2 linked regions of the Schizosaccharomyces pombe genome follow. The gene in region 2 interacts genetically with the main gene of each other region. Each region holds a gene or a part of one and is shown on either strand. Other genes may lie near its edges.

Evidence for each region. Genes that interact genetically often act in the same process or in processes that back each other up.
Region 1: of rpa43 (region 2) and rrn3, extra expression of one rescues a mutant of the other (dosage rescue), as found in Schizosaccharomyces pombe (one study listed by BioGRID).

What each region holds. Positions count from the first base shown.
Region 1 is NC_003424.3:2,236,183-2,241,250, reverse strand, and holds rrn3 (RNA polymerase I general transcription inititation factor subunit Rrn3), read left to right. Parts: upstream 1-1,987; 5' UTR 1,988-2,203; intron 2,204-2,346; 5' UTR 2,347-2,455; coding exon 2,456-4,255; 3' UTR 4,256-4,539; downstream 4,540-5,068. Other genes in the region: SPOM_SPAC18G6.13 (uncharacterized protein), read right to left, coding at 1-238; SPOM_SPAC18G6.12C (uncharacterized protein), read left to right, coding at 821-1,750; lem2 (LEM domain nuclear inner membrane protein Heh1/Lem2), read right to left, coding at 4,587-5,068.
Region 2 is NC_003423.3:3,999,955-4,003,226, reverse strand, and holds rpa43 (DNA-directed RNA polymerase I complex subunit Rpa43), read left to right. Parts: upstream 1-1,983; 5' UTR 1,984-1,996; coding exon 1,997-2,264; exon of another isoform or gene 2,265-2,370; coding exon 2,371-2,569; exon of another isoform or gene 2,570-2,635; coding exon 2,636-2,690; 3' UTR 2,691-2,760; downstream 2,761-3,272. Other genes in the region: mnh1 (protein mago nashi), read left to right, coding at 574-599, 646-683, 736-762, 835-888, 940-1,003, 1,046-1,133, 1,203-1,349. UniProt on the Schizosaccharomyces pombe protein: DNA-dependent RNA polymerase catalyzes the transcription of DNA into RNA using the four ribonucleoside triphosphates as substrates. Component of RNA polymerase I which synthesizes ribosomal RNA precursors.

The sequences.
Region 1 (5,068 bases), on a different chromosome or scaffold from region 2:
TTTCCTTCACAATTTTAATGTGGTCGTCAGTTTTAAGATATTGTGAGATAATTCCCGTCATCGGAACTGTAAATCCTTCTTTAAGTATTTGAAGCCTCCAATCCGCACATCCTCCATTAAACATCCATATGGCATGGCATAAATCTGCCACACAATTAACAGAGTCAACTAATTCAAGACTAGAAGTCTCAACCCATTGTTGAATTGGAAATTCGGTGCAGGAGACTTTGAGCCGCATACTAGTTCATAGAGGGTTAAAGTAGGAATTAAAAGTACAGAAAAAGCAACAGTTTCCTTGCCCATGTAAATTAATGTTGGTGAATTGATGAAATGTCCTGAATGCTAAGTTAGTTTGTAAAACTAAGTCCTTTTACAGATTCGATTAATTTCATATATTTGATCAGGCCAGCATAATTGATGAAAACCTATTACATTGTATTCTACAGTTATAAGCAACAAAAAGATCTATGCTTTTGTACAAATTGTTAAAAAAGTATTTCTACCAATTAGGTGATTTGTAAATAATCAAATACATAAATTATATATGATCAGCAAGTCAAACCACTACCCATTGAACGAAGCTTTGGAAGAAGCGAAAGGCGTTCTGAATACCGCTAAATTTTTGTAAAAAATCGAAACCCTGTAGAATCGTGTCATTTTGGTTGACCTAAACATAAGGTAATATATTAAGGGGGTCAATCATCCCTTTACCCACTTTTCCAGGTTTCTTGTGTAAGACATATAACTAATATACAATCTACAGTGCTATTAATTTTAAATTGTTTTTTAAAAAAGGAGGATTAACTGGTTTTTAAGCACGATGGCATTTTCCTTTCAGGTTTCAAAAATGAACTCATTTGACAACTATAATGCTGCAATTCATCCCAAGCACGACCTCATTTCAGTGAATGCTCCGGTATTTGGTAAGGATGCCAAATTGTCGCCTCATTTAGCTATCGTTTTAGCTGATAAGGGGTTCATGTTGGAGCAAGTATGTCTACCTTGGAGGTATTTTACAGATCGCGGGTTTGTAGTTGAATTCGTAATCGCCGAATCCATATTTCCTCCAAGACCCCCGAAACCTAATGATTCTTATATGACCGGCTGGAAGAGTCATGTACTCGGTGCTTCTAAGGAAATCTTAGACATATATAGCGTTCTCTGTACTCTGAATGAGTTCAACAATCCAAAATGCTATCGATCAAATGGTTTTACGTTTGATAATTTTAGTGCTGTTTTCATAACTGGAGGGAGAAATCCATTCGTGCGTGAGATGCTAGAAGACCCACTTTTACATGCCAGCCTGGTTCCTTACATCCATTCATGTCGTACAATTCAACCGGATGAAGAGGTTAAGGATAACAGAAAGATCAAAGTGTTAGGTGCCATTAGCCAGGGTGCGGCTGCAATTTATTTGGCAGAGCCTAACATCAACATGAAGACTACCACTATTCCTGCATGGATGGAGCGCTCAAATTCCTTTTTAAACCCAACACCGGATAACTCTACTTATCCCTATGCTGCCACTATAATCCCTAAGGATAAATACGTTTCTGGTCCATATCGTCGTGTCGCTTTTACATACCAGGATGAAAACTACTATTATATTTCAGGAAGAAGTAACAAGGATATTGGCGAATTATCGAAAAAAATGTATTTAATGTACAAACAGGCATACAAAGATTTAAATGCATCTTTGAGAGAGCGCCGCAGACGTTCTACTAGTAATCGAAGGAACTCTGGTATTTGAAGAAAACAATTATCACGCTTTATTTATTCTGTTTAATTGATTTTCGATCCGGTTTTATTTGGAAGATCCCTACTTTTCTTTGTTTAATATTACACTTAATTTGGTATCTACATAGTTTTTAACTTAGCATACATTAGAAATCGGTATCTATATTGCATTGTTTAGCAAAGAGCGCAATGCGCTGCATTTCAGTATATACTCAAATTTTCTTTACAAACTGTTAGCATAGTTTCTGCCAACCGCCACACATGGTTTGCTTTTACGTTGAATGAATTAATGATCACTCTTATAATTTAAATTTGTTTTATCTTACAAATTTATTTTGATTATTTTATCTGACTCATTTGAGACACCGAAAAGTTTTTGGGGTGTAAAATTCATTCGTGGGAAGTCCTGTAAATTTCTAAAAATTTAGCTTTTCGAAGCAAATTAACGGCTTAGTTTTTGGAAATTGTAAGGAAATGTTTTATTAATAAGAGAGATATAGCAATGTTTGGTTTTTTAAGCAATTGGGTCAACTTGACTTGAAACAGTTTATTTCCACATTTACTTTACTCTTAAGTTTTGGTTTAACTTTGAAACTAACTATTACAAAGTTTAGAATAACCATACGTGAATTTATCCGCTAGTGTTATTCTTATTATTTTTTTGTTTGCATCCATTCCTTTATCTGTGATTAGTGCAAGTGTTTATCTCGTCTTTACAATGCCTTCCATCATTTCCTCTACGAATCCTCAATATATTAATAAATGTGTTAACAACGGGACAATGGCATCTTCTACAAATGTTCCCGATCGTACTGTAGGTTCCAAAAGTTTTGCCTCTTCAGTTTCCAAAAATGATGGACGATTAATGCAACAAATGTTACGTGCTTTCGTCAATAAAGCTTTGGACGACAAAGCAGAAGGAAATTTTGCCGGTTATGAAGATCTTAGAAGACAGTTTGCTGCAAAAAGTGATACTAAAGATGCACCTTCCTCTCTGCAACTTCAAAACTTATTGTCGGCTTTGACGTGCAATGTTTCCAGATTGGATAGCTCTAATTCTTCTTTAGTTATGAGCGTACTAGATTCTGTTTGGGTGAGCAGAGATGAGTCCTTTGTGAGATGCTATACTCGATTTTTAGGAAATCTCATATCTGCACAATCTAATTACTTGCCGCTAGTTATGACTATGCTGATTCAGCATATGTTGTATCGGCCTGATAGTTTAGCAATCCATTATGAACATGCTCATATGGCTTTAAAATATGTGTTGGAACTTGTTCCCCGTGCGCATTCCTTCTTGTATAGTAGCATACTTGAGGAGTTTCCGTACAAGGACGAGAGCCTTTTAGCACAGATGACTTATATTTCGAACGTTTTAAGTATATGTGAATATGTACCATCAATTAAAGGTCCTGTATTGCATGCAATAATTGATAAAATTATCCAAATTGATGTGGAAATACAAGTAGAGGTTGATGATGATGATGAGGAGGAGGATGAAGTGGTAACAGATGATGATGGAACTAGCAATGCCGATTCTGAAGTTATTACAGCTTCAACGTTATATGAACGGCATACTGCTATTTCAAGTGAAATGACATCTAGCACAATATTGACTCCTCCCTCATTAACAGACACTCGTCAATTGATGCAGCAACTGGATCAGCTATTGTATACTTTATTTTCTTATTTAGATTCCAATTTAAAATCTACTAGTAGAGATCGTTACTTGGTTTATAATAGTTTGATTAAATCATTTGTGAACACGGTCCTTAAAACGTTCCGTTGTCGATATACTCAATTTTTGATATTTTGGGCTTCTCAGTTGGATCCCGAGTTTACTGATATTTTCCTTGGAGTGCTTACGGAAGTTTGTCTTGACCCATCACAACCTTATACTTTAAGATTAAGTGGTGCAATGTATATTGGGTCTTACGTTGCTAGAGCCAAAGCTTTAGAAAAAAATACAATTCAGATCATCGTTAATATGATGACTCGTTGGGTTGAAGCTTACTTAGATCAATGTGAAAACGAGCTGTCCGATGATTTACTATCTAAACACTCGGTTTTTTACGCAATTAATCAAAGTATTTTTTACATATTTTGCTTTCGTTGGCGTGAACTTTGTGTCTCTGATGAGTCTGAATCCATGGAGCCAAGACCTAACGAATGGATACCGGGCTTAGAGATACTTCATCGGTCCGTTCTTTCTCGGCTTAATCCATTGAGATACTGTTCCCCCAATATTGTACTTCAATTTGCAAAGGTTGCAAATCATCTCAATTTTATGTACGTCTATTCCATTATTGAGCAAAACAGAAAAGGAATTTTTAGAGAAGGGTTCGACACTATGGATGCCTATTTTCCCTTTGATCCTTACCGGCTTACGAAGTCTTCTATAATTGTTCAACCATTTTATAACGAATGGCAACAAATTCCAGGTTTGGATGATGACGAGGAAGAAGAAGACACAGACTACGAATCTTCAACCGTAATGTTGGGTGAATCTCCCTTTTGAATTCCTTTATTTTTTTTTAAATACCCTTTCTATGTGACATGTCCTATTTTTTCTCCGCTAATTTCTTACTCTAGACATGCCCATATTCAATCAAAAATGGTACTGGTTTTGGTTTTTATTTTAAAATAATTTATTTGGTATAACTAAGAATCACATTAATATAAGAAATACAGTTAAATTTCATCAACCTTGCAAACAAGTCCTCATTATACCAATTTTATGTTTCATTTTTAATATGTATAAGCATTCAGATAAATATATTATTAACTTACTTTTGTATTAGCTATGAAAAATGTCATAAATACAAAGCTAGAAATACAGTCGAGAATCATTATTCACGTAAAGGGGAAGTTGTATTAATAAATGAACGATCGGTTTGGAAATCCAAAGTATTTGTGCCGACCCACTCCCATACACGGGTCCATTCGCCGTCTACTTCTGATTCACGAGTTCTTACACTGCCAACTTGTTCAACACGTTCGACTATTGCTTCCCAAAGAGTTCGAGCAGTTGCTTTCGTCATATGAATTTGTTCCAATGGGCCATTTCCATGAAAGAGTATATCATGCATTTCGATTAGTGGTATAACGGGTTCTTGAGATCGAGACATTTGATAATTTGCTTTCTGTCTCTTCAAAGATTCTACACAGAATCGAGAAGCCGATGGTAGATACTTTGCTACGATACTGCGAGTACGAAAAAAATTGATGAGCTTAAAAATAACTCCTGACAACGCAAGGATTCCAAATAAAAAAACTTTGTTCCTCCAAACAAATTTTATCAGTTGCTGTTTTAAACGACACCGCAAAGGAA
Region 2 (3,272 bases):
AGACCAACAATTGATTTGAGATAATCTGTGAGTACGACTTTCGCTTTATTTAGCTACCTTTAAAAAAAATATTTTTGGATGACAGCTGTGAATGTCGATATATAAATAACATAAATGAAGCCTGTCAAAAGCTCGATTTAATATGTTACAATAAAAAAATCAAACCGTAGTCTTAATAAAAAACAACCCAAGGATCACAAACTAGCGATAAAAGATGCAACAGTGCCAGAATAACTTTTGTAAATGCAGTGAAATAAGTCGTGGAACGTTAAAAGGTCCCAGAAAAATAACTTGTCAAGATTTAACCTGAATTTGGAAAAAGCCTTTAAGGAATTAAAAGACTTTGATTTACAGATATAGACTTAGCAGTCAATATATAATGTCAACGAATTCATCAAAGATACACTGTATATTGAATTACCCACGAACTTTGATTGTCGAGCTCCAAAAATTGGATGCACTAGTGTATTGTGTTATTTAAAATAGTGAATCACTATATGCTTCGTATCTTTGACCAAGAGTTTACCTCTCAGCAGTAGTCATCGAAGCCATCATATTCCTATTTGCTCGAAAATGAGTGATTTTTATGTTCGATACTAGTATGCAAAAAAGCTGTAAATAGTTTTGAATGCTAACTGACTGAAGCTCGGGACACCATGGTCGATTCGGACACGAGTTCTTGGGTACGCGATAATATTAGACGCAAGGTCGCGCAGCTAACCAAACATTTGCTAGAATTCGATTATCATAGTGATGGGCTAGGTATGAATAGAGTCAACAATTTTCTGATTCATATTAGCAACAGTGGTTTGACATGAATACTAATTCAATTAGCTAGATACGCAAACAATTCTAACTATCGGAACGATTCGTTAATCCGAAAGGAGAGTATGTTTTAGTACTACATTTCTGTTCGATCGTATTAACAAAGCCTTAAAGTGTTCGTCAGTGAGCTTGTTTTAAAAGAAGTTCAACGTATTGTAGATGACAGTGAGATCATAAAGCAAGTCATTTCTTTCAATTTTTTATACTAACTACTATTTAGAGAATCAGATGAAAGTTGGCCACCTGAAAATAAAGATGGTAAGCAGGAACTTGAAATTCGTATGAATGGAAAACACATCATGTTTGAAGTAAGATTGCTCTTCATTTGGCATAAATATATTCATTCTAGATACTTTTAAGCTAATATAAACTACTAGACCTGTAAACTTGGAAGTTTGGCAGACGTTCAAAATAGTGATGATCCAGAAGGGCTAAAAGTTTTCTACTACCTAATTCAAGATTTAAAAGCATTGTGCTTTAGTCTCATCTCCCTAAATTTTAAGCTCCGACCTGTTAAAAACTAGATGCATTCCATTTTCTTATATATTAGGGCGAAAAAGTTTTATGTGAAACATTGGTTTACTATTTGGGTTTGATTACCTTTGTTTCGTTTCTAAATGTACAGTCTCAAAGCTGAAAAACGTTCGAGCTTTAGGAAGGAATTTCAGTTTTTATGCTAAATTAACCGTATTGCACTTTTAATTCCATATCATAAGCGGTTAAGAATTGACTATTTATTTGGGAACATCTTAGAATATGGCAACCATTCCATGGTAGTCGCGTTACAAAATCTTTTTTTCAATAAGATATCAAAAAAATCTTGAAATAATTTTAGCTATATTAAATAGACACTATTTGTATAGTAATGAGCGATTCACTTATTTTGTCTCAATAATATTCTTCATTTAAATAAGAGAAAAAAAAGGTAAAGTATTTCTTATTGTAATTAAAAAAAAAATTTCAATGTCTTGAGCACTGTAGTGACATGGTGTCATTTACAGAATTGGCATTTCTATTGATGCCATAGTATCGCCTATTTAGCTGTTAACCTTTCTCGAAGACATGATATGTTATATATGACCTTGGTTGATCAATTGAAGAGCTTTGTTTACCCTTGAACATATCTGTAAAACTGGATGCAGTCGATGAAGGAAATTTGCGTTCCGCCAACATGCCGGATTTATCACTCTACAAACAGACTGTAGATTTATACCTTTCCATTGCTCCTGGACACAGCAGGGATCCTTTAAATGCTATTCAGGAGCATATGGATAGTATGATTCTTAGCAAACTCCCAAGAATCAATGGAATAGTGTTGGCGTACGACAATATTCGATTCCTGGAAAAAAGTGCAAAGGTCATGTATGACTCCCCATTCTCCTTTATATGGGTCCGTGTAGACGTTTTAGTATTTTCTCCCAAAAAAGGCGATTGTTTAGGTATGAAATGCTTAGAAATTCGAGATTCTATGATGGATTTGTATCATGATAATTCAGTCGTGCAAAATTTTATACCAACTCCAAAATAAATGCTAACTATCACTAGAAGGAAAAATTAATTTAGTCAGTCCAAGTCATATTGGTCTATTAATTTTGGGTATTTTTAATGCATCTATTCCGCGAAAATCTATACCTAAAGATTGGATTTTTATTGAGCCCGATACTACGGAAGAACAAGGTCGTTGGAAGACAAATGATGGAAATATTCTGGAGCCTGGTAAAGATTTGGAGTTTGTAGTAGATGGGTATGTCGTAAACTATATACTGTTTTAACTAAAGTTTGATTAAATTATGACTAACAGTTAATCTAGTATACAAAGAGAAGCTGGGTTGACTATGGTTCAAGGGACGCTAGCAAATTCATAATAAGTATTTATATTCAAAATACAAAAGGATTGGTTACTTATGATTATGGATATTTGCCTAAGAAATTCCGGTTTATAGAATCGCGCTAAAACTAAACAGTAAGTTATTTTGAAGCGGTGTGTATGTACTTTCAATTGTATGATTTTATAAAAGTAGGCAATTGTTGATTTAAGCTTAAGGAATGAAATGAATGATAATTCATAGTTATCTTTTTTCTAGACTTTTGATTTCATCTAGTGATACTCTCATTTTCAATTTGTTGCATATAGACATTGAATGCTTTCCACAACCCAAGCGTTTGGAACTATTTATTTATAAATTCGACAGTTTAATATAACTTATGGACAGCCAGTTAGCCTGCAATTTATTGACAAAATAATTGGTTAAAATCTTCAAAAAGCACTATTTGATTTAATACGTCAGGTGAAGGATTAATATCTTCTTTAAATAAATCGAGATCTACTTATAACACATCAATGCTTAGACAAATAAGCTTAAGTTTTATTACCACGTTTGTTTTTCTGTATTTTAATAATAACATCAATAATAAAATTTTTTCAATTATCTCAAATTGATCATTAA